Linked DNA regions of Canis lupus familiaris. The protein of the gene in region 1 interacts with the protein of each later gene in a biochemical or structural test. Links are inferred from orthologs where the notes say so. Each region holds a gene or a part of one and is shown in the gene's direction. Other genes may lie near its edges.

Region 1 (4,237 bases):
GGGAGGTCGCACCCACCACCTCCCGTGCAGGTGAGGCCGTCGCGCAGGCAGCCCCGACGCATCGGGCTGGGGGAACAGGGCATCTTGCGTCCCCCGCACTCCAGTTGGGGGGGGGGGGCTCGAGTCCCGATCCTGCCCCCTCCTGCCTCAGTTTCCCCCTCTGCACACACTCGCGGACGGTCTGCAACCTGCGGGAGCCCCGATGCGTCGCTGGCAACCGGTGAGGGGAGGCGGCCAGGCCCGGTCAACCGGGAGACGGTCGCGGGCAGGGACGCGAGGAACCGGGGACCGGGCAGAGTCGCCCAGCGGGACGGGCGGGCCCGGCCGGCGCCGACTCCACGCCCGGGGGCCCCGCTCGCCGCCAGGCCGCAGCCCTGGCCCTAGCCGCCCAGCGGCCAGCAGAACAAAAGTGGCTGCCGCGCGGGGCGCGGGGCGTCCCACAGGCGCGGCCGCTGCGCCGCCGGGGCAGCCCCGCCGCCCCACGCACGCCGGCCGCGCCTTCGGCCCCTTCCGCCCGAGCGCGCTCGGCTCTTTCCGCCGCGAACGGCGCAGGTGGAGGGGGCGGGGCGGGGGCCGTGCGTGGTGACGCCGCGGGGGGGGTGACGCACCGGCGTGCCCCGCCCCCTCCCCCTCCCCGTTCAGGCTCTGGAAAGAGAAGAAAAAAAACTTTCTTTTTTTTTTAATTGAGGAATCAACAGCCGCCATCTTGTCGCGGACCCGACCGGGGCTTCGAGCGCGATCTACTCGGCCCCCGCCGGTCCCGGGCCCCACAACCGCCCGCGCACCCCCGCTCCGCCCGGCCGGCCCGCTCCGCCCGGCCCTCGGTGCCCGCTCCGGCGGCCCCGCTCGCCTCTCGGCTCGGCCTCCCGGAGCCGCGGCGGCGGCGGCGGCGGCGGCAGGCGGCGGCGGCGGCGGCGGCGGCGGCGGAACGGGGGGTGGGGGGGGCCGCGGCGGCGGCGGCGGCGGCCCCGCTTCGCGCATTGTTTTTCCTCACGGCGGCGGCGGCGGCGGCGGGCCGCGGGCGGGGAGCGGAGCCCGGAGCCCCCCGGTCGTCGGGCCGCGAGCGAATTAATTAAGTGGGGCGCGGGGGGGGGGGGGGAGCGAGGCGGCGGCGCGGCGGCGGCGGCGGCACCATGTTCCCGGGGACTGCCTGAGCCGCCCGGCCGGGCGCCGTCGCTGCCAGCCGGGCCCGGGGGGGCGGCCGGGCCGCCGGGGCGCCCCCGCCGCGGAGTGTCGCGCTCGGGAGGCGGGCAGGGGATGAGGGGGCCGCGGCCGGCGGCGGCGGCGGCGGCGGCCGGGGGCGGGCGGTGAGCGCTGCGGGGCGCTGTTGCTGTGGCTGAGATTTGGCCGCCGCCTCCCCCACCCGGCCTGCGCCCTCCCTCTCCCTCGGCGCTCGCTCGCGGCTCGCGCTCGCTGCTCTCCCCTCGCAGCCGGCCGGGGCCGGCGCCGACCCCCGCCCCGGAGCTCTTGCCGGCCCGGCCGCCCGCGCTCGGGGCTGTTTCCGCGAGCAGGTGAAAATGGCCGAGAACTTGCTGGACGGACCGCCCAACCCCAAACGAGCCAAACTCAGCTCGCCCGGCTTCTCGGCGAATGACAGCACAGGTGAGGAGGGGGGGCCCGGGCGGGGGGCGGGGGCCCAGCCCGCAGGTTAGCGCCGGGGGGACCCGCCCCGAGGCGCCAGCCCGCGCGGCCGCTGCCCGGGGCCCCGCCGGCCCGGGCCGAGGGGGAAGTTTGTGGCCGGACGGCGCCGGGGCCCCGAGCGGGGGGCCAGCCCCGGAGTTGGGGAGCCCTCCGCGCGCGGAAGGCGAGCGGTACCTGCGGGGAGCACAAGGGGAGCGGAGCGCGCCGGGCTTCGTGGCGGTTCCGCGCGCCTCCCTGTGCGGCCGTGCGTCGGCTCACGCGGGGCTGCCTGGAGGGCTGACAGCGGAGGGTGGGCTTCCCGGTGACGGAGGGGAAAAGTGCAGCGAAGCGGGGGTGGGGGTGGGGGGACGACCCAAAGTCTTTTCTGAGCTGGTAGCACGATTCGCAGCGCTGCGATCCGGATCAGGACACACGCTCCACACACACAGCTCGCTCGTAGCAGCAGCCGACCTGGGAGTTGGGACTTTGGAAGTTTCTTGGGATGCGGTCCTTGGGAAGATGCTTTTCGCAGTTTGTCTTGAAAAAACTCTGGTTGTTGGGTCTACCCAAGGCCGTTCCGTTTGCACCAGCCCCAACTCGGTTAGCAAGATGTCATCCAAGTTGCTGTGCTGTGTTTAACTTCAGAGGCATGACCTTAAAAGAAAGTTTAGGTACAGCAGATCCTTTCGGGCTACATCCTCCGGCTTGAGTTGGTGGGGCTTTTACACTGTGGGTGTATTAAAGAAAATTATGTTAAGGAATGTAGGAATCGCAGGTCCCACCCACCACCACCACCCCCTCCAAAAAAAAATTTTTTTTTTTTTTTAGCCAGGTATTAAATGAAGCGTTCTTTCAAACAGCATCCATGAAAACTTTGTGAAGTAATCCCATCAGTTGCCTAAGTATTTTAGTTTCTATTCGTTTAATAACTCTGGGCTCTTCTGAGCTGGTTCACGGTAGCATTATGATCGAGTTGTATTTCCTCTTTCAGACCTCTCCTTTGCAGTAAAAACTTGTGCACCGCTGCGAACAGTTCTGTCTCCAGCGCAGCCTGCATTTCTCCAGTACGGTCTTGGTAGTAGCAGCATCTGAAAATCAGTTTATAATGAATGGGTCCAAATTGAATTATATTGCTGCAGCGATGCCTTCAGATTTGCAGTAGACACAGCTGTTCAGCTTGTGCAAATATTTCTGTGGCCACTGGCATATTTCTACTAATGGTCTAAAAAAATCTGTTTCTCCTGTTGAAACAAAACTACTTGGGTTTTGTGGCTTCGGTTTTAATACAATTTCAAGGATAGTAATGTAGGTGTGAGAGAAAGGATATTTTAAAATATCATGAGATTCTTATCTAGTTTAAATACAATTTGTTAAACGGTGGGGGGGGAGTAAATAAGTCTCATGGGGCAAAAAGTCACTAATACTTTTTTGTAATTGATAGAGTGGAGTGTGATGTTTATTTTGTCAAATCAGCTTGTCTGAAGTAAGAAATGTGGAAACAGCCATGACTTAGATGCCCTTTTACTATAGAACAGATCTCTTTTGCTTCATTAATCTTGCTATGTTTGAGTGAAAAGTCTTTAATCATATGAAACATAGATCATACCAGGCAAGTTCAGCTTTGAAGTTTGTCTTCTGAAACTGGTAACTTTTTGAATGGCTTTGCAGCTTTGCTCTTGTCAAATGAGGCTATTGCAGATTGTGTTTTCTATAGAGGGATAAATTACTAACACAAGACTTAACAGAAAGGGTTTTCCGAATATATACATTCAGCTGTTAACAAGGTGGAGCCTAGAGAATGGCCTTTTTGGGTAGTTCTGTTAATGGATGGTCAGATATTTACTTGATGCGCTGCTAAATCACAACAAATTTTTTCGGAAAGGATTTTTCCCTCTTGGCTACTTTTTCTCCCCTTTCTTTTCCAACGTTGATCCTCCTAAAGCATGAGGGCTCACTCTTTTCCAAATGGGGAACACAAATTTTTAATAGCTCTGATTTAAATAATAAAATTCATGATTATACTTATGTCAAGTCACCTTGGTTACGTTTTCATCACGTCACATTATTGGCCAGAGTCTATCAGTGCGGGGGCCAAGGAAGGATCGTCATCGAGCAAATTAAAGGAGGTACAACCTTGTCTTCTGTAACCAGTAGTCTGAGACAGAGATCCTAAGGATATATATTGAACAAATAAAGGACTCTAGGAATCACATTACGTCCAATCAAAGGAGTGAAGGCATTGGGGTAGGTGGGAAAGTAGGGAGAGACTCAACCTCGTTTAAGTGAGGGGATGTGTTTTTGAGGCTCCTGGAAGAAAAATGGAGCCAGGTGGAGCAAAGCGCGTTTTCTTTTTCCGTGATAATAGAATTTGAAGGGAGTTCTGTACATGGGAAGAGCTGAGAGGTTAGGAGGAGCAGGAGGCAGCCTGGTGGCCTGAGAAACGAGGGATTTGGACTGCTACCATGCAGCACATGTCTGTAGGGACTGGCCTGGGGAGCCATCGTGTCCGTTGCGTGAGTCTAAGGGACTGACATTGGGTGGAGAGAATAGTACTCCTGACATTGGGTAGCTAGCTCACAAGCCAGGGTGCTCCCCGCAGGGCACTTGCAGTCTAGTA
Region 2 (3,500 bases), on another chromosome or scaffold:
GCCACAGTCTCAACAGCAGCAGCAGCAGCAGCAGCAGCAGCAACAGATGATGATGATGCTCATGATGCAGCAAGACCCCAAATCAGTTAGGCTTCCAGTCTCCCAAAATGTCCACCCCCCACGAGGCCCCCTGAACCCAGACTCCCAGAGAATGCCCATGCAGCAGAGTGGCAATGTGCCTGTCATGGTCAGTTTACAAGGACCTGCTTCCGTGCCACCATCACCTGATAAACAAAGAATGCCAATGCCTTTGAATACTCCTTTGGGAAGCAATTCAAGGAAAATGGTATACCAGGAGAATCCCCAGAATCCTTCTAGCTCACCACTGGGAGAGATGTCCTCACTCCCTGAAGCGAGTGGCAGTGAAGTACCATCTGTCTCAGGAGGCCCAAACAACATGCCTTCACATTTAGTAGTTTCCCAGAATCAGTTAATGATGACAGGGCCAAAACCCGGACCATCGCCCCTTTCAGCAACTCAAGGTGCAACTCCCCAGCAACCCCCTGTAAATTCCTTGCCCAGCTCCCATGGCCACCATTTTCCAAATGTGGCTGCTCCAACCCAAACATCTAGGCCTAAAACACCAAACAGAGCCAGCCCCAGGCCCTACTATCCTCAGACACCCAACAATCGCCCTCCCAGCACAGAACCTTCAGAGATCAGTCTATCACCAGAAAGACTCAATGCCTCCATAGCAGGACTCTTTCCCCCACAGATTAATATTCCTTTACCTCCTAGGCCAAATTTAAACAGGGGCTTTGATCAGCAGGGCCTGAACCCAACAACTTTAAAGGCCATTGGGCAAGCACCTTCAAATCTTACCATGAATAATCCTTCCAATTTTGCTGCCCCACAAACTCACAAATTAGATTCTGTGGTGGTGAATTCTGGAAAGCAGTCTAATTCTGGAGCAACAAAACGGGCTAGCCCAAGCAACAGTCGCAGGTCTAGTCCTGGGTCCAGTAGGAAAACCACCCCAAGTCCTGGGAGACAGAATTCAAAAACCCCTAAACTTACTCTGGCCTCTCAGACAAACACAACCCTGTTGCAAAACGTGGAGTTGCCAAGAAACGTATTGGTCAGTCCCACTCCTTTGGCCAATCCCTCTGTACCTGGGAGCTTTCCTAACAACAGTGGGCTGAATCCTCAGAATCCTACCATGCCTGTGGCTGCAGTGGGGGGTGTTCTCGAGGATAACAAGGAGAGCTTGAATGTGCCTCAGGACAGCGATTGCCAGAATTCCCAGGGTAGGAAGGAGCAGGTAAACATTGAGCTCAAAACAGTCCCTACCCAAGAAGTTAAAATGGTTGTCCCTGAAGATCAGTCTAAAAAGGATGGGCAACCTATGGATCCTAACAAACTTCCCAGTGTTGAAGAGAACAAAAATTTGGTGTCTCCTGCTATGAGGGAAGCACCGACATCATTAAGTCAACTTCTTGACAACTCTGGAGCTCCTAACGTGACCATTAAACCCCCTGGGCTTACAGATCTGGAAGTAACACCCCCAGTAGTTTCTGGGGAGGACCTGAAAAAAGCATCTGTCATTCCCACACTGCAGGATCCGTCTTCTAAAGAACCCTCTAATTCCCTAAATTTACCTCACACTAATGAGCCGTGTTCAACCCTTATGCATCCAGAATTGAGTGAGGTCAGTTCTAATGTTGCACCAAGCATCCCTCCAGTAATGTCAAGACCTGTCAGCTCTTCCTCCATCTCCACCCCCTTGCCCCCAAATCAGATAACTGTTTTTGTAACTTCCAATCCTATCACAACTTCAGCTAACACATCAGCAGCTCTGCCAACTCACCTGCAGTCTGCACTGATGTCAACAGTTGTCACAATGCCCAATGTGGGTAGCAAGGTTATGGTTTCTGAGGGACAGTCAGCTGCTCAGTCTAATGCCCGGCCTCAGTTCATTACACCTGTCTTTATCAATTCATCCTCAATAATTCAGGTTATGAAAGGATCACAGCCAAGTACAATTCCTGCAGCCCCACTGACAACCAACTCTGGCTTGATGCCTCCCTCTGTTGCAGTTGTTGGCCCTTTACACATACCTCAGAACATAAAGTTTTCTTCTGCTCCTGTACCGCCTAATGTCCCCTCCAGTAGTACTGCTCCAAATATACAGACTGGTCGACCCTTAGTCCTTAACTCACGAGCCACCCCTGTTCAGCTTCCTTCCCCTCCTTGTACAACTTCTCCAGTTGTCCCTCCTCATCCCCCTGTCCAGCAAGTGAAAGAATTGAATCCAGATGAGGCTAGTCCTCAGGTGAGCACCTCAGCAGATCAGAGCACTCTGCCCTCTTCACAGTCAACCACAATGGTTTCTCCCCTTTTGACCAATAGTCCAGGCTCCTCTGTCAACCGGCGAAGCCCAGTCTCATCTAGTAAGGGCAAAGGAAAAGTGGACAAAATCGGCCAGATTTTGCTGACCAAGGCATGTAAGAAAGTTACAGGCTCTCTTGAGAAAGGGGAAGAGCAATATGGTGCAGATGGAGAGACCGAAGGCCAAGGGCTAGAGACTACAACTCCAGGGCTCATGGGAACAGAGCAGTTACCCACAGAGCTGGACAGTAAAACCCCAACACCCCCAGCACCCACTCTGCTAAAAATGACCTCTAGCCCTGTGGGCCCAGGCTCCACCTCAACAGGACCCAGCTTACCTGGCGGTACTCTCCCCACCAGTGTACGCTCGATAGTAACCACTCTGGTACCCTCTGAGCTCATCTCCGCTGCGCCGGCCACAAAAAACAATCATGTTGGCATAGCACCTGAGCCACTTGTGGGTGGCCTAGTGGAGGAGAAGGTGGGATCCCATCCAGAGCTTCTGCCCAGCATAGGTATGTACTTGGGGCCTGGCATCATCTCCTCGTGTCAGTTTTTTGATGACCTATTCCACAAAAGAAAGCCTTTTTTTTCTTTTCTACTTGGAGGAGGAAAAGTGAGCTAAATAGCAATAGTGGTAGTTTAATTTATTGGAAGTACATTGGGAAATACAACTTTAAAGCCTATGTTAAGTTTACATTCATTAATACGGTTCTCTCTCAGCTCCTGAAGTGATAGGCCTTTCATTTATATAAAGTTTTTCATTTTACAAAAAAGCATCTTTATATATGTTATCTCGTGTCATCTTCATACCAACTACGTCAGGTAGCCCTAACCCCATTCTGTGGGTGAGAAGATTGCAGCTCAGAGTTCAGTATTTTCACAGTCTATACTGTGAACCTCCAGTTTAACATTGTCCCTTAAAGGTGAATAGCTGTTTTTGCAAGTTCCCCTTACTGCAATATTGACTTGTTCTCCACAGTTTCAGAGCAGGGTTCTCATGGCCCCTTCTCATTGTACTCTATCAGAAGGGACTATTCCCTTCTGACTGGCTACTCCAGAGGAAAGCTTTTCAAAAACCCAGGTCTCATGGTAATAGACACAAGAGACACAAAGTGGTTGAGAGACAGGCAGGCTTGAGTTAACATCACAGCACCAGCATCTACCAGCTC
Region 3 (3,500 bases), on another chromosome or scaffold:
CCCGCAGGGCCCGGCGGCGCGGTGCGGCGTGTGCGGGGACGGCTCCGATGTGCTGCGGTGCACGCACTGCGCCGCCGCCTTCCACTGGCGCTGCCACTTCCCCGGGGGCGCCCCCCGGCCAGGGTGAGTGCGGCGGCGGGGAGGGGGGCACAGGGCCGGCAGGGGTCACCGCGGGCCGCCAGCCCGACCCCCTCCTCCGCTGTGCACAGGGCCCCTCGCTGCCGCTCCTGCTCCGGGGACGCGGGCCCGGCCCCCGGCGACGGGGCGCCCGCCTCGACCCCTGCCCGTGCTGCGCCGGGGCCTGCCAAGGTCAGTGCTGCCCGGGGAGGTGGGGACCCCGGGGGCTGGAGCGGCCGGCACACCTCCAGGGACGCTCCCGTGCCAGCTTCGCGGGGGTGAACATGCCCCGGGCCGTGGGTTGTGTGTGTAAATAGCCGCCTTCGAGATAACGTCTACCTGGAAGGGAGAGCCAGCTACAAGCATTGGTGGCATGAGATGGCAGTGGGATGCACCTGTTCCCTGGTGACCCGGCCCCGCCCTCAGTGCCCCCTCTCCCAGCCCCTGGGGTGCACCTGCCCCTGGAGGGGTGGCGGCGAGAAGGCGCCCAGCAGGGATGAGCAAGCGCGCGTGACGCCCAGTGTGACCCCACCTGGGCTCCTGGTCCTCCAGCAGTGACCGCCCGGGAGCCAGCGGGAGCCCCTGGGGACAGCTGGCTCGCTGCGGTCTTTGTCTGCCTTCCTGCTGAGTGGCAGTCCTCCTGGGGCTCCCTCAGAACTTGGGGGGTGGGAGTCCTGTGTGTCCCTTCAGGAGCCTCCGGGTGGCACCCTCTTCCCCAGGCCTTCCCGACCGGGTCCCTGCCCCCAGAAGAACCTCTGAGGCCCTGGGGGAGGCAAGGAGTCCCACCCCCATCCGTGGCCCATCCTCCTTCCCAGCCACACGGCACCCCCCAGCGCTCTGAGCAGGAACCCGGCTTGGGGGGGGCCAAGGCCCTGCCCATGAGGGGGCTCACCGGCAACCCCAAGGCTTGGCCCGCACCTGCCTGCTGCAGCGTGGAAGCCTCCCATCACCCCGCCCCTCCGCACTGCCCGTGCTCAAGCCCTCTCAGGGGGACCCCTGCTCCCCCACCAGGAGGGGTCCTTCCCTCCAGAAGACGCTTCTTCACGGACACCTGGGCTCTTTGCTCTTAAACGCAGACTCCTTTCTTGTCCTTGAGGTGGAGCGCGCAGTGACCTTGGAGAGGAGCACATGCCAGCCCCTCAGCCCCTCCCGCAGCCCCACTCCCTACGGGAGAATGTGGGTGTGGCCCCATCCCTTCCTGGGTGCCCTGCACACCCCGAGGCTGTGCTCCTCCCTCACTGCCTGGGTGCTGTGGCCTCCCAGGGCCTGTGTTTATGAGCTGAGACTCGGCTCTTTCGTGCCAGTCTCCTGTGGCTCATGCCCTGCTCTGGCCCCCTCCCCAGGGGCGCCGTGGGCCCTGGCAGCCTTTGTGGGGTGGTTGAGTGGCTGGCATCGGACCAGGGACTTCCCTCTCGGGGCCTGTTTCTCCACCCATGACAGGCTCCCTTCGAGCTGGTTCTCTGAGTTGCCCGGCTCTCCCCGGAAGGCTGCGTGTAGCAGGTGGAGGCTGGCGGGCCTGGGGGCCTCGGGCAACCAGCTGCCAGCGGTGCCAGGGCCCTTGCGGGCAGCCCACACTCGCTCATGTGCACCCTGCCTGTGCCCAGCACCCTGGGAGGAGTGCCACCGCACTGCCCTGGCATGAGCGCCTGTGCCCCAGGCCCCTGTGGCCTCTGCAGGGAGTCCTGCTCTGTTTCGGGGTTCCCTAGCAGGGGTGCTGAGATTGGGCTGACCCTCCTCTCCTGGGCTCCAGGCAGGTGACGGCTCCTCTGGGCACGAGCCGGTTCTACACAGAGACGACCTGGAGTCCCTCCTAAACGAGGTAATGCACCTCCAGGCTGGGCCTCCGCCTGCACCTCCTCCTCTACAACCCCCTAAAGGCTCTGGGGGGCTGGGAGGTGCCCCCCCACCCCAGCTGTGCCAAGCACCACAGGCCAGGCTGCTTCAGACGCATGCAGGAGCCCGAGCACACCAAGGGGCCTAGAGGGGCCTAGAGGGGACCCTAGAGGGGATCCGGTTCCGAGGGCCTGGATCCTGGGGGGCTGGGGGGCTGCACAACCTCGGGGCAGGGCGGGCGGGTGCCCCGGACCTCTCACTGCCCTCATCAACCCAGGCTCTTCTCCCTTCGGTGAACAGCTACACTGGCTGGGAAGGAACTGGGGCTTTCAGGGGTTCCATCTCTCTTCGACGGGAGGTCAGACTCCTCCAGCCATCCCCACACCCAGGAGGCTGACACGTGGTGTCCGCGGGCCGTGGGGCCCCTCCCTGTGTGCTGGGCTGGGCACAGGAGGGTCCGAGACAGTGCGGGGATTTTGGGGGGGACCCCAGGTGCTGGGTGAGGGCCCTGGAGCTGTGGCGGGGGCGGCCGCCCAAGACCGTTGGAGAAAGGGGGGGAAGACTCCCCAGCCCCCTCGGGGGTGCAGGCACCCCATCCTGCTGGAATATGGGGCCTCCTCGTGACTCCCCCATCCTGTGGGGTGCCAGGGCCCTGAGCACAGTGAGGGCAGGAGCTGGCCCTGCCTCGCAGCCCTGGGGCGAGGAGGCCGTGCCCTGTGCCCCCGGGATGCTGTGATGGAGCACTGCGTGAGGAGTCCATGTCTTGCGGTGCCTCAGGCCTCAGTTTCCCTACCTCTGAAAAGGAGGGTCAGATGCTTATGACTCCCGCCGGCCCCGGCGGCCAGGGCGTGCCCAGTGTGCCCTGGAGCCTTGGCAGGTGCGAGGCTCCGCTCTGCTGTCTTGCAGCACTCCTTCGACGGCATCCTGCAGTGGGCCATCCAGAGCATGTCCCGGCCGCTGGCCGAGGCGCCCCCCTTCCCCTCCTGAGCCAGGAGGCCGGGGGTCTGCGGGGCAGCGCTAGGGGAGGGGAGGCCCCCCAGATGCCGCCTCAGCCGAGAGAGAGCGGACCCCCTCCTGCCTCGGGATCCACGGATGCCGGTGCGTTCCCGCTCGTGCTCACGGTGACCTGCTGCGGGAGGGGCCGGGGGACACACTCCCCCCCCCACTGGGACCTGGCCAGGTTAGGACCCAGGAAACCTGGAAGGTCCGGGTGGCGTCCACGCTCAGCTCGTCGGCACGGCCCGTGCTCGTGGACACACTAGGCATCGCGTGTCCTCAAATAAAAAGCTCCTCCTGTGGGGTCTCGACATGCTGTCCTGTGGGGTGTGTTTGCTCAGGCGGCTCTGGGCTCCCCCGCATTTCTGGTGCCTGAAGGGTAGGCCGCGCCGGCGGGAAGGGAGCTCGCCGTAACGGGAGGGCCCAGCCTGGGTCCCCCCCTTACACTCAGGCTCCTCCTCCTGGGGACTTGAGCCCCTGAGGCCCTGACCCCCTCCATCCGACCACGCCGTGGGCCACACAGCTTCGTGGGCTCCCCGGCCAGGCGGCACAGC
Region 4 (3,914 bases), on another chromosome or scaffold:
GGAAAACAGCGTGGCTCTGGGCTCGGGTGCTGGGGCTGTGATGTCCTCGGAAAGTCAGCTCCAGCCCCAGAACCCCGCGTGTCCGGGCGATGGGCGAGGGTCGGGGACACCAGGTTTGTTCGAGGTGGGGCAATTTCAGCAATGGCCCTGGGTTAGTGCCCCCCAGCCCCCACCCCAGCTTCCCAGCACTGGAGGCCAGTAGCGTGCTTGCCTTGGCCGGGAATGGGGGTGGGGAAAGGGAACCGCGTGTGGGGTGGGGGGGGGGGCGTGATGCAGGGGGCCCTGGACCGCTGAGAAGACCCTGAGGTGGGGGGAGGGGGACGCGGGGATCTGGGACAGCCTCTCGGAGGCAGCCGATCCCTTGCTCAGCGTCCCCTCCGCCCGCTGGGATTCTCTCTCGGGTAGGGGGAAAGGGGGCGGGGAGCAGAGGTGTCCCTCTGACGGCGGCAGAAGAGGCAGACAGACGGACAGACCCGCAGACCAACAGTGCGGCCCCAGGGTTCGTCCCCAGACTCGCGAGCTCGTTTGGTGGCGACTGGGGCTCGGCGCCTCGAAGCCCGATGTGGTCCGGAGGCAGTGGGAAGGCGCGGGGCTGGGAGGCCGCGGCGGGAGGGAGGAGCAGCCCCGGCAGGCTCAGGTGAAACCCCTACCCCGTCCCTTGGCCCCCTCCCTCTAAAGACTTGTCCCCGCCCGGGATCCCCGGCTGCACTGGAAAGTGGTTCACTTTGTAACTCGGAAAGTTGGTTGCAAAGCAGCATTCACCTTCCTTCCTCCCCACCATCCCTCCTCCTCGGCTACTCCTCACCCCACCTCTTGCCCTCCCCTCCCTGGGTTCCCTCCTCCTTTCCCTCCCCCGTCTCCCCCCACCCCCTGCGCGCCGCCCGCACCCCACAAAAAATGGGGTGGGGGTGTCCGGGGGAGGGGGAAAAGAAATGCTTTGGGTCGCGTCTCTGCCTCTCTCTCTCTCTCTCTCTCTCTCTCTCTCTCCCTTTTTGAGACTTAAAAATCCTGACAAGTGAAACTTAAAGGTGTTTACCTTGTCATCAGCATGTAAGCTAATTATCTCGGGCAAGATGTAGGCTTCTATTGTCTTGTTGCTTTAGCGCTTACGCCCCGCCTCTGGTGGCTGCCTAAAACCTGGCGCCGGGCTAAAACAAACGCGAGGCAGCCCCCGAGCCTCCACTCAAGCCAATTAAGGCGGACTCGGTCCACTCGGTTACGTGTACATCCAACAAGATCGGCGTTAAGGTAACACCAGAATATTTGGCAAAGGGAGAAAAAAAAAGCAGCGAGGCTTCGCCTTCCCCCTCTCCCTTTTTTTTCCTCCTCTTCCTTCCTCCTCCAGCCGCCGCCGAATCATGTCGATGAGTCCAAAGCACACGACTCCGTTCTCAGTGTCTGACATCTTGAGTCCCCTGGAGGAAAGCTACAAGAAAGTGGGCATGGAGGGCGGCGGCCTCGGGGCTCCGCTGGCGGCGTACAGGCAGGGCCAGGCGGCTCCGCCGGCCGCGGCCATGCAGCAGCACGCCGTGGGGCACCACGGCGCCGTCACCGCCGCCTACCACATGACGGCGGCGGGGGTGCCCCAGCTCTCGCACTCCGCCGTGGGGGGCTACTGCAACGGCAACCTGGGCAACATGAGCGAGCTGCCGCCCTACCAGGACACCATGCGGAACAGCGCCTCGGGCCCCGGATGGTACGGCGCCAACCCAGACCCGCGCTTCCCCGCCAGTAAGTGAGGCCGCCCCACCGCCGGGCCGCGGGCTGGGGGCGGGAGGCGCCGGGAGAGCAGCCCCGAGGGCGCCGCGCCTCCGGCTGCGCACTGGGCGTCCCGGCGGGCGGCCCGGCAGCCGCGCCAGGGAGCAGGGGCGGGAGCTGGGGTTCCCCCCGCTGCTGGCCTGAGGGGTCCCAGGCGGGACTCTTGGGGTCTTGCGGGCAGGTGCTAGTATCCGCGTCTCCCCATGCGGCCGACTGGCAGCTCGGCTCCGCTCCGCGCAGGAGACCTCGGGGAGCCGGGGGATCGCCCTCCCGCCCGCCCCCCCCAAGCCTAAGGGAGCCGGGGGCTAGCAGGGAGCCGAGAGGCGGGCCTGGCCGGACGGGAGGCTGCCCCACTGAGACACGCTCGGGGACCGCCCGGCCGGCTCTGCAGCCTAGGCAGGTGCCAGGGTGCGCGGCTTCAGAGGGGGCTCCAAGTAGGCGGCACAAGTGCCCTCCCTGGGGCTGACAGGAGAGAGCGGCCAGGAGGCAAAGCGTCGGCGGCTCTAGGCTTTGAAAGTGAACACCCCACTCTCCCGAACTCCAAAAGTCGGGGTCTACCGTGGGACCCCGGCTCTTGGTCTGGGCCCAGTTCGCCGCTCGGGGCCCGCTAGCCCAACGACTCTGGCCAGGGTTGGGCAAGAAAGGATCAGAAGCGGCCCCTCTCCTTGGCCGGCAGGCTGGAGCGCTGAGATGGAGGGAGGCAGTCGGGGTGCAGGCGGGGAGCCCGCCAGTAACTCCCTCGACGGCGCGGCCCGGGGCAGGCGCCGTCTGCGGTGCGTAGGCCGCTCCCGGCCGCGGCGGCCCAGGTGAGGAGGGCGCCGTCGGCGGGGGCCGGGCCGGCCAAGGGCGCGGAAGGCAGAGGTGGCCCGGCCCGGCCCGGCCCCCGCCGACGCTGTGCGTTTGTCGCTTACAGTCTCCCGCTTCATGGGCCCGGCGAGCGGCATGAACATGAGCGGCATGGGCGGCCTGGGCTCGCTGGGGGACGTGAGCAAGAACATGGCCCCGCTGCCAAGCGCACCGCGCCGGAAGCGCCGGGTGCTCTTCTCCCAGGCGCAGGTGTACGAGCTGGAGCGACGCTTCAAGCAACAGAAGTACCTGTCGGCGCCGGAGCGGGAGCACCTGGCCAGCATGATCCACCTGACGCCCACGCAGGTCAAAATCTGGTTCCAGAACCACCGCTACAAGATGAAGCGCCAAGCCAAGGACAAGGCGGCGCAGCAGCAACTGCAGCAGGACAGCGGCGGCGGCGGCGGCGGCGGGGGCGCCGGGTGCCCGCAGCAGCAGCAGGCGCAGCAGCAGTCGCCGCGCCGCGTGGCCGTGCCGGTGCTGGTGAAAGACGGCAAACCCTGCCAGGCGGGCGCCCCCGCGCCGGGGGCCGGCAGCCTTCAAGGCCACGCGCAGCAGCAGGCGCAGCAGCAGGCGCAGGCTGCCCAGGCGGCCGCCGCGGCTATCTCGGTGGGCAGCGGGGGCCCCGGCCTGGGGGCACACCCGGGCCACCAGCCGGGCAGCGCGGGCCAGTCTCCGGACCTGGCGCACCACGCCGCCAGCCCCGCGGCGCTCCAGGGCCAGGTCTCCAGCCTGTCCCACCTGAACTCCTCGGGCTCGGACTATGGCACCATGTCCTGCTCCACCTTGCTATATGGTCGGACCTGGTGAGAGGACACCGGGCCGGGCCGGGCCCAGCGCGCTGCCTCATCGCTTTCCCTCCTGCCGGCCACACGTCACCCACCACTCGCCGCTCCCTGCGCTTCGACTTTTCTTAAGAATCTGTCCCGTTTAGACCAAGGGGGAAAAAAAAAATCACAAAAGCCAAACTGCTGGACGTCTTTTTTTTTTTTTTTTTTTTCTAAAATTTGTGGGAATTTTTTTTAAAAAGAAAACAAAAGCAACCAAGTGAATCCAACTCTTTAAGGAGTCTTTAAACAGAGAAGGACATAACAAAAACAGCTTCTGGGGGTGTCTTTTAGGTGATTGAAATGGGTTTCCCTCGCTCAGGCAGGGTGCAGTTTGGAGAGGGCTCTACGAGGATACGGCTCTGGACTCTTAAAGCTCGCAAACTTCACTCTGGGTACACTGTGCCAGCAAGGCGGACTCGCTTGTAAATACCAGGATTTCTTTTGAAGGGGAGATGGGGGCTGGGGAGAGGAAAGACTCTA
Region 5 (4,164 bases), on another chromosome or scaffold:
GGGTCCTCGGGCGGGCTGCGGCGGCGGCGGCCGGAGCGCCTCTCGGTGGCCGGGGTTGCGCGCCCCCTCCTCGCCGCGCCCCGGGCCCGCGCGGAGTCGTGCGTCCTCCCCCCTCGTCCCTGAAGGGAAGCAACCGAGGTAGGCGCCGGAGCTGTGCAGCGGGGCGGTCGCCTTCCCGGTGACTCCGGATCTGCTTCCGAGCCGGGCCAGGCGCTTCCCTTTTCCCTCCCCGTGACTCGGTGTGCGCGCCCCCCTTTCCCTCCCGCTGCTGTTTTTAAAGGACTTGAGTGAAGGGGGGAAAACTGTCAAGATGGCAGCAGCGGGAGCAAGGAGGTGATGAACGTGCGGGTCCGGGTTTTCTGGCAGCCCGGGAGACTTGGCGCTTCCTGACCTGTTGGAAGATTTACGTTCCGACTCGCCCCCTCCCCCTGCCCTTTCCCGGGAAGGGGGGTGGGTGGGGGGGTGCGGGGTCCAACGCCCGCCCGCAAACCGAAGCACACAAAACCCCAAAGTGGTCGTTCCCGCTTGGCTCGACCCTTTGCAAACACCCGCCGAGCTGCTTGCCCCCCGCCCCGCCCCGCCCCTACCCCCACCCCCGATCCTCCCCTCCTCGCTTCCCGTCTGGTCTTTTTTTTTTTTTTTTCTTTTCTGGAAGTGACAAGAGCCCGTCCGCGCCCGGACCCACGTTCGTCCTCCTGGCCCCGCGCCGCCCCCCGGAGCCCGGGCCCCTGGCCCCTGGGCGCGGAGAGCGGAGTCCACGGGGGCGCGGGGGCGGCGGGCGCGGGGCGCGGGGCGCGGGGCGGAGCGGAAGGCGCCGCGGGAAGCACCCGCGCGGGGCCCGAGCGAAACATAAACAAACGCACGCCCGCCCCGGCTCCGACCGCGGCTCGGCTGCGCCAGCCCCGGCCGCTGCCCGCTTTAAAGGCGCGGCCCGCGCCCCTCCCCCGCCCCGCCCCTCCCCCTCCTCCCCGCCCCGCCACCTCGCCCGGGAGAGACCTGCCGAGCCGGCGGCCCCGCGCGAGCGCGTCCATTCGCTCCCGGCTCCCCGCGGCCTGGCAGGGGGCGGTGTCTGCTGCGCCAGGTCCGCGGGACGCACGTCTCCAGGTCTGCCTGTCTCCGGGAGGCGGCGGCGGCGGCGGCGGCGGCGGCGGCGGGCGCGGGGTGGCCGAGGGCTGGGCTGCCGCGCGGGTAACCAACTCTCTCCTCCGTGCTTCCCCAGGCGGCGGCAGGAGCGGCAGCGGCTCCCGGGAGCCCGAGCCTCCGCGGCGCCCCCGGGCCTCCCCCGCCGCACCCCGCCCCGGCGCGAGAGCGGAGCGCGAGAGCCCGAGAGCCCGAGAGCCCGAGAGCCCGAGCCGCGGGCGGGCGGGCGGGCGGGGAAGATGGCAGAGGCGCCGGCCTCCCCGGGCCCGCTCTCCCCGCTCGAAGTGGAGCTGGACCCCGAGTTCGAGCCCCAGAGCCGGCCGCGCTCCTGTACGTGGCCCCTGCAGAGGCCGGAGCTGCAGGGGAGCCCGGCCAAGCCCTCGGGGGAGACGGCCGCCGACTCGATGATCCCCGAAGAGGACGACGACGACGACGACGAGGACGGCGGTAGGGCCGGCTCGGCCATGGCGCTCGGCGGCGGCGGGGGCGGCGCGCTGGGCTCCGGGCTGCTCCTCGAAGACGCGGCCCGGCTGCGGGCTCCCGGGGGGCAGGACCCCGGGGCCGCGCCGGGCCCCGCGGCGGGCGCGCCGAGCGGGGGGACCCAGGCGCCGCCGCAGCCTCCGCAGGCGCTGGCCCCGCCGCAGCCGGGGGCGGCCGGGGGCTCGGGGCAGCCGAGGAAGTGCTCGTCGCGGCGCAACGCCTGGGGCAACCTGTCCTACGCCGACCTCATCACTCGCGCCATCGAGAGCTCGCCCGACAAACGGCTCACTCTGTCCCAGATCTACGAGTGGATGGTGCGCTGCGTGCCCTACTTCAAGGATAAGGGCGACAGCAACAGCTCGGCGGGGTGGAAGGTGCGTACCCACCCCGGGCGGGCGGCCGGACCCGCCGGGCCTCCTGCGCAGGGCGACGCGCGCCTGCATCCCGCGGAGCGCGCCCGCGGGCGCCGGGAGAGGGGTTGGCAGCGAGCGCCTCCGCTGTGAGGTTTCGGGGGAACCCGTGCGACCCCCCTCCCCTCCCCTCCCCTCCCCTCCCCTCCCCGGAGGAGGGGAACCTGGGGTCGGCCGCGGAGGGTGGGGCGGGAAAGGAGGCGCCCCCCCACCCCGGGGAGGCCTCGGGCATGGCCAGGTGAGGAGGAGGAGGAGGAGGAGGAGGAGGAGGAGGAGAGGGGGCAAGGGATGCCGGCGAGGGAAGGACCGGCGGACGGCAGAGCCTTTGCTGGATCCCCGGGACGGCACGGAGGAGGTAGGTCTGCGGCCAACTTCGAAGCAGGAATCACCGTCGTGGGGATGCGGGGAAGGCCCCGCGGGTGCAGTGAGAGGACGTGGGGGAGTGCTTGGGGCTCCTCCGGGGAAGGGGATGGATTTGTGCTTTGCAGTGCATGGTCGTCGTCGTTAGAGCTGCATGAGAAAAAAAAAACCCCTTGCGTCGAAGTTTCTGGCTTGTGGGTGTTGGTTCCCGCAGGCACAGCGATCCCATTAAAAAAAGCAGTGGTTGCAAACCTTTTTTTTTTTTTTTTTTTTTTTCCCCTGGCTGCCTTTCTTTTTCTTTCTTTCTTTTGGTTGCCTGTGTGGACACCTTTACTCCTTAGAGATGTTTCTGCAGTAAATCTGTCCCCCCCCCCCCGCCCCCCAACTTGGGATGTTTCGAGTCCCGGAGCGGGCCAGCCCTGCCACCTGAAGGACTGGCCACACCTGCTGCTCCCGCCGAGGCCTGGACTCCGGCGCTGTTTGAGGCCCGGTCCAGGTGTGGAGGGCTGAGGCCTGGAGCTTCACCTAGGCCTTTGGGAGGGAGGTGTGGTGGCGGGGCTGGGTCATAATGGCTTCTGCCTATAAATGAGCCAGAAGAGAGGCTCTCTACTGTTCCTTTTCAGCCTCTCGGGGCACTGGACACGTGGTAGGAGAGAGGTGTGGAAAGGCCTATGATGTAATGACTTCCTGCAGTTGGGCATCCAAACAGATTAACTCCTGTGCCCCTGCTGGGCTGCTGATACCCAGCTGCTTTGCTCTTCCTGGCACCTCATCCTCCTGGCCTCTTTCCCCAAGACGTGAATGTGTCAGTACCAGGCAGAAGGGTGCTTGCAGTTGGAGATACATATGGCTTATCAGTTGCTTCTCTTTGCAAGTTAGCTTTTTTTTTTTTTAATTAATGAGGTAGTTCCTTCCTCATTTTGTCCTTTCCTTACTGTCTTTGGGGAGCCCTGTATCTTCTTGGGTTCCAGTAGGTGTATTCAGTAAGAATAGTTTAATCTTGGTGGAGCACTGGAGAGGAACCTATATGTGAAAAAACTAAAGAATTTTGTGTATTGTCTTCATTTCCTTAAAAAAAAAAAACCCAAAACAAAACCCTTACAAAGTATCTGTTTTTTTTTTTTTTTAATTTCATATTGGCTAGTATTGGAGAGGACTTGCTGAGATACTTTAAAAGCAAAACTGTGCTTTAAAATTATTCCACATATCTGTCCCCTTTCCTTTAACAAATGCTGACATTATGAATCTTACATTTGCTCTAATTTTACAGCTTTGCAAAGGAATGCCAGTTGTGTGATATGAGGGCCATTTACAGAAAGCTTGAGAGTGAATAGCATTTCGAGGAAGTGCTACTGTGATATCTTTTAAAACAGAGTTTCAAAGTGAATAGCAAGGGTTAATCTCAAGGTACAGCATCAGAAAGGGGGGAGTTGCAGGATCTAAGAAAATGGATATAGGGGTTTGGAATATTTTTCAAATTTCTCAGCTTGAAATTAGTCCTGTATATTTTGAGTTTGCTGCAGAGAACTGCTAGTTAAAAGTTAGCTAACTTTTAACTTATAAAGTTAATGTTGGAAGGGTTTTCACTTTCCCTCTGATTTTTAAGTGTATGCGAGTAGTTCATAATCTTGCAAATAACATCTCTTGTTATTGTATTTAGAGTTAAATAACTTTTTTCTTTAACATCTAGGTGAGAAAGTAGTATTATCAAAAGTCGCCTTGAAACGTAACTCAGTTATATTTTCATGTAGCTTGCAGGACTTCCAGTAGAGAT
Region 6 (4,173 bases), on another chromosome or scaffold:
GTAGCCAGACCTTAAATCTTCCCTAGTTTGAAGGCTTCTAAGTTTCAGAGCCAACAATTAAGTTTCCAGCCACACAAAAGACAATGTCCAGAAATGGTTTTGAAAAGCATGGGCTTACTAGGGGAACTGATCCAAAAGGAAAAGGGAGTGCTTTGGATGGGGGAAACACAAATCTGTGGAGGGAAAGAAAGGTTAGGGAAAGCACCAGGTTTCTGAGAATTCTGGAAGTAGAGACCTGGGCTCATTTGCATATAGCACCCCCAAGATGAGGAGACTGTTGTGGGAGACTGTCCACTATATGCCCTGGCCTGGAGAGCAGTGGTAATGCTCTTTCTGAGCAAGTCTGGAATGATCCATTGTGAAGAGTCCAACAGCGGCAGGGGGATTAACACTCGCATCAGTAGAAGGAGCCATCCTAGTGGTATAAGTAACCATCACGGATTAAGGACCTGACCTCTTCCTCACTTTTTTTGCGGAAGAAAACACTAAAGTCAGCAGAAAGCAGCACTGTATAAGGAGCTAAAATGCTTCGTCTTCGTCTTTTAAGACGACTTCTCAGACCAACAATGGCTCACCTTTTAGAGCCTACTATATTGGAAATCATGGGATAGGACTTCTGAGGTTCCTGCTCCCATCGGGCGCCCTTTTCCTCGCTAGACTTCAGGCCTCCAATCTAAACCTTCCCTCTTCGTTCGAGTCCCTGGCCCGTCCTTCCTCAGTTTCTCCCTGCAAGCGTCCCTTCCCCAACTCCACCTCGCATCCCCGAAGCAGACTCTTTCAGTCGTCCCTTCTTCTCTCCTAGTTCCCCCGAGTCCTGTACCTCCCCCCCCCCCCCCCCCCCCCGGTTCAGGCAGTCGCTCTCCTCTCTTCCGACCCAGACCGCCCTCCAGCGACCCCCCGCGCCGGACTCTGTTCCTTTCTACACTTCAGGGACCCCCTCTACCCACCCCATATCCACCCCACTTCACTCCCACCCGGAACCCCACTGGGCGCAGCCCCCCTCCGCCGCTCAGCCGTTGGCGGGGGCGTGGCCCCGCGAGTAACAGGTCTCCCGCCCCACACTCCGCGGGCCCGCGCGCAGACAAAGACATTCCACAGCCCCCGCCCCTTCGCGCACCCGGCCAGAGGGGGAGGAGACACGTGTCCCGCTAGCGCCGAGTCACGTGGAAGAGAAAACGAACGAAGCCCGCGGCCACTCGCGCACGCGCACAAGACTCTGGCCTGGCGGGCTCGGAGGGAAAAGGGGAGCGGGGAGGCGACTTCTTCGGGCTCCGCGGCGGTGCGCAGGCGCCGTGGCCCGACTGGAGACTTTGTTCTCCGCGGAGAGACCCAAGGGCGGTGCCGGTGGCTGGCTGCGCACGCGCGCCGCCTCATTTCCGGTGCTCTCTTTCGCTGGGTCGCTCGGGTCGGCTTCGGTCGCTGTCGCTCCCGCTCTCCCACCCCCGCCAACCGCCGCTCGGGCCTCTGCCGCTGCCGCGTCGCTTCCTCGATCCCTCGATCGCACATCCGCCCCGATGCAGCGCCGGGACGACCCCGCCGCGCGCATGAGCCGGTCCTCGGGCCGCAGCGGCTCCATGGACCCCTCGGGTGCCCACCCCTCCGTGCGTCAGGCGCCGTCTCGGCAGCCGCCGCTGCCTCACCGGTCGCGGGGAGGCGGAGGGGGATCCCGGGGGGGCGCCCGGGCCTCGCCCGCCACGCAGCCACCACCGCTGCTGCCGCCCTCGGCCACGGGCCCCGACGCGACGGTGGGCGGTCCGGCGCCGACCCCGCTGCTGCCCCCCTCAGCCACTGCCTCCGTCAAGATGGAGCCGGAGAACAAGTACCTGCCCGAACTCATGGCCGAGAAGGACTCGCTCGACCCGTCCTTCACTCACGCCATGCAGCTACTGACGGCAGGTAAGCGGGCCTCCCCGGTCCCTCTGGGTCGTCTGGCCCCCCGGGGGCATGGGTAGCAGTGGCTTTGTTCCGCCTGCCTTCCGCCCCCTCGGGGCCGAGGCCATCGTGAACTCCCCTCCTCTCCTCCTCATCCCGGGAGCCTGGATTCCACGCTCCCATCCCGGCCCTCGGTGCGAGGGAGAATTCTGAGGCTGCAGTGGAGGCCCAGAGGGGACTTGGTGATCTCTTAGCGCAAAGGTCTTGATGGATAGCGCTGCGCTCCCCGCCCCTTTGCCGACCCTTCCCCCTCCCACCTTTTGCAGCTGCCCTGCGCTCTGAGTATTCAGATCCTTCCAGAAGCGAACCTTTTATCTCCCCCTACCCCCAAAGGGAAAGCCTTCTTCATTGCAGGTGGCGGTAGACGCCTCTACTGAGGGTGTAGGGGGTGAAGACAGCCGGAGCGGGGAGGGACCGTGGGAGGGAGGGCCGGGGTGAAATGGGGTGAGGCTGGAGTGCCCTGTCCAGCGCGCCGCGTTCTCTGGGGCCGGGTCGGACTTAGCGGTAACAGGAGCTTAAGTTGCTCGGAGGCAGGAGCAACCTGTGGGAATCGGATCTTGAGGCTTTCCGAACCAGACTTCCGACTTGGGCCGATAAAATGATCATTGCTATGGACCCCTTTATTTTATAAGGTGGTGTTCATCATAAGGGTAAGAATAGCCCTAGAGACAGTGAAATGGAATCGGAGTAGGTAAAGGTTGGTTTGCAGGACATTCCTCACTCAATAAGATGGACAAAAATTGAGGGAAGTTGCAAGATGCTTGTACCTGAAAGGCTTGGTCTTCCTGTTTTATTTCTTTTTGCTTCAATAGTGAAATAGATTCTGAAAAGTAGTCTTTGTTCTGTGCCAGTAGACTAACGCTCCTTTCCTGCCCTAACTGGCTAATCACCTAGTCTAAAGCCGTCTGTTTTGCCCCCACTTACAGTTTAAACGTTGTTTTAATAAGTTATTTCTTATATGACCTGAATTTTATAAGCAAGTAAAAAGTTGCAACCTTCAACTCTAAATGAGTAGTTGGACTCTTTGGCAAGGTTGATATAATGGACTGATCGATATTTCGTTTCCCTCCCCTTTGTTCTCTATCTCCTTACATTGGTAAGGGGTCTTCGTTTTTTTAAAGCAATAAACAAATCTCGCTGTGGTAAAAAAATAAGAACATTTGGATAAATCGCTTACATTTTCAATTGGGTGTTTTGCTGTTCTGTAACACAGTCAGATTGTTTGAAACATTACTGTTCATTGTGTTCTTCTGGCAGTCGTTTTGAAGGCCAGGATGTTTTTTTTAATCTTTATATTTTTCATGTTGTCTTGCAATATAGCAAACACCAGGTGTTTGAAAGCAACTACATGCAGACTTAAGAATGTCAAGCTAAATGCTAAAGGTTGACTTGGTAGTCTAATTTTTATTTCCTTTAATCTTTAAGCAGTCCAGGTTAAATGAGTGAGAATAACAAACTTTAGAACTTAAAGGTGTTGGCTTGGGTTTGAAATTCTGACCCTTAATTAAACTTCTTGGGAAGTTTTCTGAACCTCGGTAACCTTATCTGGAAAATGGGATGATGAGAGAATTAAGTGTCATGTAAAAGCACTGGCGCCATTCCCTTTGGCCATAATAATAAAGATAATAATTTGTCACCACAGTTTTCTAATAGTTGTAAATCCGTGGTACTGAGTAAAGTATGAAAACAAGGTATTTTTTGCCTTTCTGACCACACCAAGTGCCTAGTACAGTGTTTTCTTTTAAGTAAAAGGTGATTTTTTAGGATAACCATCAAAAACTGTTGATCCTTGAGGACACCTGGGTGGCTCAGTGATTGAGCATCTGCCTTTGGCTCAGGTTGTGATCCCAGGGTCCTGCAATGGAGTCCCACATCAGGCTCCCCACAGGGAGCCTGCTTTTCCTTCTGCCTATGTTTCTGTCTCTCTCTGTGTTTCTCATGAATAAATAAGTAAAATCTTAAAAAAAAACAAAACTGTTGATCCTAAAAAGTTATTTACAGGGGTGCCTGACTGGCTCAGTCGGTAGAGCATGTGATTTTTGATCTTGGGGTTGTATGTAAGTTGGAGCCCACCTTGGATGTAAAGATTACTGAAAAAAAAATCTTTTTTAGAAAAGTTACTTAAAATTTTCACTGTTCTCTCACTGCTTAAATTCTGTTACAAGAGAGTATTTAATATTTTTTAACTTGGGTTTTGTTTTTTTTTTTAATTTTAATCAAGTTATTTTCTTTTCTTTTTTT
Region 7 (3,423 bases), on another chromosome or scaffold:
TTTTTTTAAGATTTTATTTATTCATGAGAGATACAGGGAGAGGCAGAGACCCAGGCAGAGGGAAAAGCAGGCTCCCTGTGGGGAGCCCAATCCCAGGACCCCAGGATCACGACCTGAGCCAAATCCACACTGAGCCACCCAGGCATCCCAGTTTGAACTTTTCATTTCTTCCATCATCAGGACATTTGAATGTTCTGGGTCTCTTGGTGTATGTTTTTATCTGTTTGCGATATTCTGAGGGCAGGGGGTAGTATCACAAATTTTTAGAAGGGAAACAAAGATTTTCAGTTTCCTACGCTGAGTAGCAGTGTACTTCTGATAGCTATTAATCTGCCCTGTGAAAAGGAGATAAAAATGGTAATTAATGTCTTAGAAGATCATTATCATTAAATGAGATAATCCACACAGAGGGCTTAGCACATAGTAATTGCTTGATATATGGTATTTATCTGTAATTTTTTAAGTATCCTAAATTTTTTTCTTGTAATTTCAGGGTAAAATGTAGACTACTGTGTCGATCCATGGGGCAAAAATCTTTGACTTACTGGAAATAAACTGAACTGTCATTTTCACAGGGAAGTGTCTGTTCATGTCAGGCCTGAGTGAGGTCCAGCTGAACCATATGGATGATCACACTTTACCAGGAAAGTATGGTATTGGATTTACCAATATGGTGGAAAGGACAACACCAGGCAGCAAAGATCTTTCCAGGTAATTACATTTATTTTTATAGGTTGGAACCTGATCATGCCGATGCCTCATATACTCTAAGAATGCTAAATGTACCTATTTGAGGCTGAGCTTAACAAATACATGAATAGATCTTTTATTCAAAGCTATCTGAATTTAGCGTATTAATATTGCCATACTTATATTTTGACTACTTTTTAATTCAATTTTAGTAAAGAATTTCGTGAAGGAGGACGTATTCTAGTGCAGAAATTACAGAAATATCAGCCACGAATAGCAGTGTTTAATGGAAAATGTAAGATTTACTTTTAAATTTTATCTTTTTTATTTGCTAACATTATGGGCAATGTAAGTATGTTTGTATTTCATTTTAGGTATTTATGAAATTTTTAGTAAAGAAGTTTTTGGAGTTAAGGTTAAAAACTTAGAATTTGGACTTCAACCCCATAAGATCCCAGACACAGAAACCGTAAGTACTTAAAGTGATTCTTGTAACAATCAGCTAAATACGAATTTTTTTTCTAGCTAGTTTCCCTTTTTTATTTGTCCTATCCATTGTAATTCATGCCATTCTAAAAACACTGTATTTTGTTTAGTAATAGTTACATGTCAACTGAAACTAATTGTTGCAAATTAATTCAGGAACTATTTTAAAAAATAAACTTTTTTTTTGGTTAAAATGTCTTACTGATGTTATTTGGCTAAACTACTGGGAGGAGTTGAAAATAAATTTAATGGCATATTTTTATTAGCAAATTCAGGTAGGTTAGTCCTTTTTCAGTATGAAACAAACATGTAAATATAGACATGCTCCTGATGAGTAAAACTGCTCATTACCCTCTGCTGGTGTATCTTAGCCCAATTTCATTCTAGAGCTGTATGAATAGTATGCAGCTCGGTTGCAGACAGACATCCAGCTAGCCTGACTGGCACCCGGTACTGTTTACTGGTGCCGCCGTGTCCACAAAGGCGTCGTGAATAACAGTGGGTTTCAAACTGTCATTTCTGCAGAGCTTCTGCAGACATTAGGTTTAAATTTGCTTCTTAATGTAGTTTTGTTTACAACTTTTTAAAAAACAACATACATGCACAGACCCATGTGTTCTAGACAACATTTTAAATAATGGAGAAGCCCATGTGCTGACAGGGTTTTGTGGAGAGCTCAGAATAAAGTTTCTGTCATCTCCATACATTTGAACTTCTCCTTTTTAAATTTCTTCTAAGTAAATATATGCTTGATAAAGTAAGTGGTCTTTCTTAAAACCGAGGCCTAGGGATCCCTGGATGGCTCAGCGCTTTAGTGCCTGCCTTCGGCCCAGGGTGTGATCCTGGAGTCCCGGGATCGAGTACCACATCAGGCTCCCTGCATGGAGCCTGCTTCTCCCTCTGCCTGTGTCTTTGCTGCCCCCCTTTCTCTAATGAATAAATAAATAAAATCTTTAAAAAATAATAATAATAATAATAATAAAACCGAGGCCTACACTTGTCTACTTTGGTAAAGTTGGTGCAGCTGAGTTCATTGCCTTCTATAGATACTGCTTTATTGTCCCGTAGGAGCCAGATGAGGCTTGGCTACACGCCTTGAATGTAGGTGACCATAATAGTGCAGTACTAAGTATTGGATAATATCATGACAGGTAGTGTTAGCTCCTATAGTGACCTTGGGAGTGCTGTGTGTTTTAGTTTATTCTTTGTTATGAAATATTTGCAGTTACTGATGATGTTAGTGATTCAGCTTTGAAACAAAATTTTTTTTCAAATTTCTGCATCATTTTAATTGAAGAATGTCTTGGGATGGGAAAATGAGTAATTACAAAACCTGGTAGTATTTATACCTACATATCTTTAGGAGTCAGGAGTTTCTAAATGCTTTATAAACAAACGAAAAAGTTTGTTTTATGGAATGTTATGGAGGACAATATAAAAATTGCAAGAAATTGCAACTAGAAGTTCCATAATCGAGCAGCCTCAGTCTTTGATATGTATGTGATATATAGTATTATATATTTTCTGTTCTATGAAGGACAGTTTGTCACCATTATCCCAAATAATAAATGCAAATGTCTTTCTCCTTAGCTATTTGACAGAATTCTCTCTGATAATGCTTTTGAGTCAAAAAGCAGGAATGTAGAACAGGAAATAGAGAGCATGTGACCATTCGTGTGTATTTAAAAAGGGTGTGGGAGAGTACATATGTGAGATACATTTGGTCGTATATTCATAGAATACATCCGGAGCCAGCAACTGTGATTGCCCTGGGAAGAGAACTGGTAGAGACAGAACTGGGAGGGAAGATTCTCAGTGTATATACCTCTTTGCCTTCTAGCACCTTTAGAATTGTGAACCATGTGTTTACTATTAAAAAGACAAGATGATTGGTAAATGAACATGAGGGGGAAGCCTCTTCATTTTTTATTTATTGACTTTGTAGTAAGTAAATTTTACGAATTTGAGCTCAGACACAATTACTTGTATTGATTTGCATATATTAATGTGTGATGAGCATCATTTTTAACCAAAAAATGTATGAGTTTTTTAATCTCTATGTGAGTGGATTCAGTAGACTTGGAAGATTTATGTAACTGTAAAATTTTATGATTCCAGCTCTGCTATGTTATGCCATCATCCAGTGCAAGATGTGCTCAGTTTCCTCGGGCCCAGGACAAAGTTCATTACTACATTAAGCTGAAAGACTTAAGAGATCAATTGAAAGGCATTGAACGAAATACAGAT

What was found.
Region 2: the proteins of CREBBP (region 1) and NCOA6 form a complex in vitro, tested with the Homo sapiens proteins (2 studies listed by BioGRID). The link is inferred for Canis lupus familiaris from reciprocal best matches to the Homo sapiens genes CREBBP and NCOA6.
Region 3: the proteins of CREBBP (region 1) and AIRE interact in far-western blotting, tested with the Homo sapiens proteins (2 studies listed by BioGRID). The link is inferred for Canis lupus familiaris from reciprocal best matches to the Homo sapiens genes CREBBP and AIRE.
Region 4: the proteins of CREBBP (region 1) and NKX2-1 form a complex in vitro, tested with the Homo sapiens proteins (2 studies listed by BioGRID, with this or other methods). The link is inferred for Canis lupus familiaris from reciprocal best matches to the Homo sapiens genes CREBBP and NKX2-1.
Region 5: the proteins of CREBBP (region 1) and FOXO3 are reported together in a solved structure, tested with the Homo sapiens proteins (2 studies listed by BioGRID, with this or other methods). The link is inferred for Canis lupus familiaris from reciprocal best matches to the Homo sapiens genes CREBBP and FOXO3.
Region 6: the proteins of CREBBP (region 1) and KHDRBS1 form a complex in vitro, tested with the Homo sapiens proteins (2 studies listed by BioGRID, with this or other methods). The link is inferred for Canis lupus familiaris from reciprocal best matches to the Homo sapiens genes CREBBP and KHDRBS1.
Region 7: the proteins of CREBBP (region 1) and TDG form a complex in vitro, tested with the Homo sapiens proteins (2 studies listed by BioGRID, with this or other methods). The link is inferred for Canis lupus familiaris from reciprocal best matches to the Homo sapiens genes CREBBP and TDG.

Annotation. Positions count from the first base shown.
Region 1 is NC_049227.1:37,710,934-37,715,170, forward strand, and holds the start of CREBBP (CREB-binding protein), read left to right. Parts: upstream 1-1,437; 5' UTR 1,438-1,517; coding exon 1,518-1,602; intron 1,603-4,237. UniProt on the Homo sapiens protein: Acetylates histones, giving a specific tag for transcriptional activation. Mediates acetylation of histone H3 at 'Lys-18' and 'Lys-27' (H3K18ac and H3K27ac, respectively).
Region 2 is NC_049245.1:24,333,059-24,336,558, reverse strand, and holds part of NCOA6 (nuclear receptor coactivator 6), read left to right. Parts: coding exon 1-2,843; intron 2,844-3,500. UniProt on the Homo sapiens protein: Nuclear receptor coactivator that directly binds nuclear receptors and stimulates the transcriptional activities in a hormone-dependent fashion. Coactivates expression in an agonist- and AF2-dependent manner.
Region 3 is NC_049252.1:38,039,229-38,042,728, forward strand, and holds part of AIRE (autoimmune regulator), read left to right. Parts: intron 1-7; coding exon 8-123; intron 124-209; coding exon 210-309; intron 310-1,867; coding exon 1,868-1,936; intron 1,937-2,856; coding exon 2,857-2,937; 3' UTR 2,938-3,500. UniProt on the Homo sapiens protein: Transcription factor playing an essential role to promote self-tolerance in the thymus by regulating the expression of a wide array of self-antigens that have the commonality of being tissue-restricted in their expression pattern in the periphery, called tissue restricted antigens (TRA).
Region 4 is NC_049229.1:15,253,118-15,257,031, reverse strand, and holds NKX2-1 (thyroid transcription factor 1), read left to right. Parts: upstream 1-1,358; coding exon 1,359-1,731; intron 1,732-2,671; coding exon 2,672-3,414; downstream 3,415-3,914. UniProt on the Homo sapiens protein: Transcription factor that binds and activates the promoter of thyroid specific genes such as thyroglobulin, thyroperoxidase, and thyrotropin receptor. Crucial in the maintenance of the thyroid differentiation phenotype.
Region 5 is NC_049233.1:65,900,859-65,905,022, forward strand, and holds the start of FOXO3 (forkhead box protein O3), read left to right. Parts: upstream 1-1,364; 5' UTR 1,365-1,379; coding exon 1,380-1,994; intron 1,995-4,164. UniProt on the Homo sapiens protein: Transcriptional activator that recognizes and binds to the DNA sequence 5'-[AG]TAAA[TC]A-3' and regulates different processes, such as apoptosis and autophagy.
Region 6 is NC_049223.1:68,543,617-68,547,789, reverse strand, and holds the start of KHDRBS1 (KH domain-containing, RNA-binding, signal transduction-associated protein 1), read left to right. Parts: upstream 1-1,373; 5' UTR 1,374-1,514; coding exon 1,515-1,896; intron 1,897-4,173. UniProt on the Homo sapiens protein: Recruited and tyrosine phosphorylated by several receptor systems, for example the T-cell, leptin and insulin receptors. Once phosphorylated, functions as an adapter protein in signal transduction cascades by binding to SH2 and SH3 domain-containing proteins.
Region 7 is NC_049236.1:42,804,401-42,807,823, forward strand, and holds part of TDG (G/T mismatch-specific thymine DNA glycosylase), read left to right. Parts: intron 1-575; coding exon 576-711; intron 712-902; coding exon 903-985; intron 986-1,064; coding exon 1,065-1,159; intron 1,160-3,065; exon of another isoform or gene 3,066-3,294; coding exon 3,295-3,423. UniProt on the Homo sapiens protein: DNA glycosylase that plays a key role in active DNA demethylation: specifically recognizes and binds 5-formylcytosine (5fC) and 5-carboxylcytosine (5caC) in the context of CpG sites and mediates their excision through base-excision repair (BER) to install an unmethylated cytosine.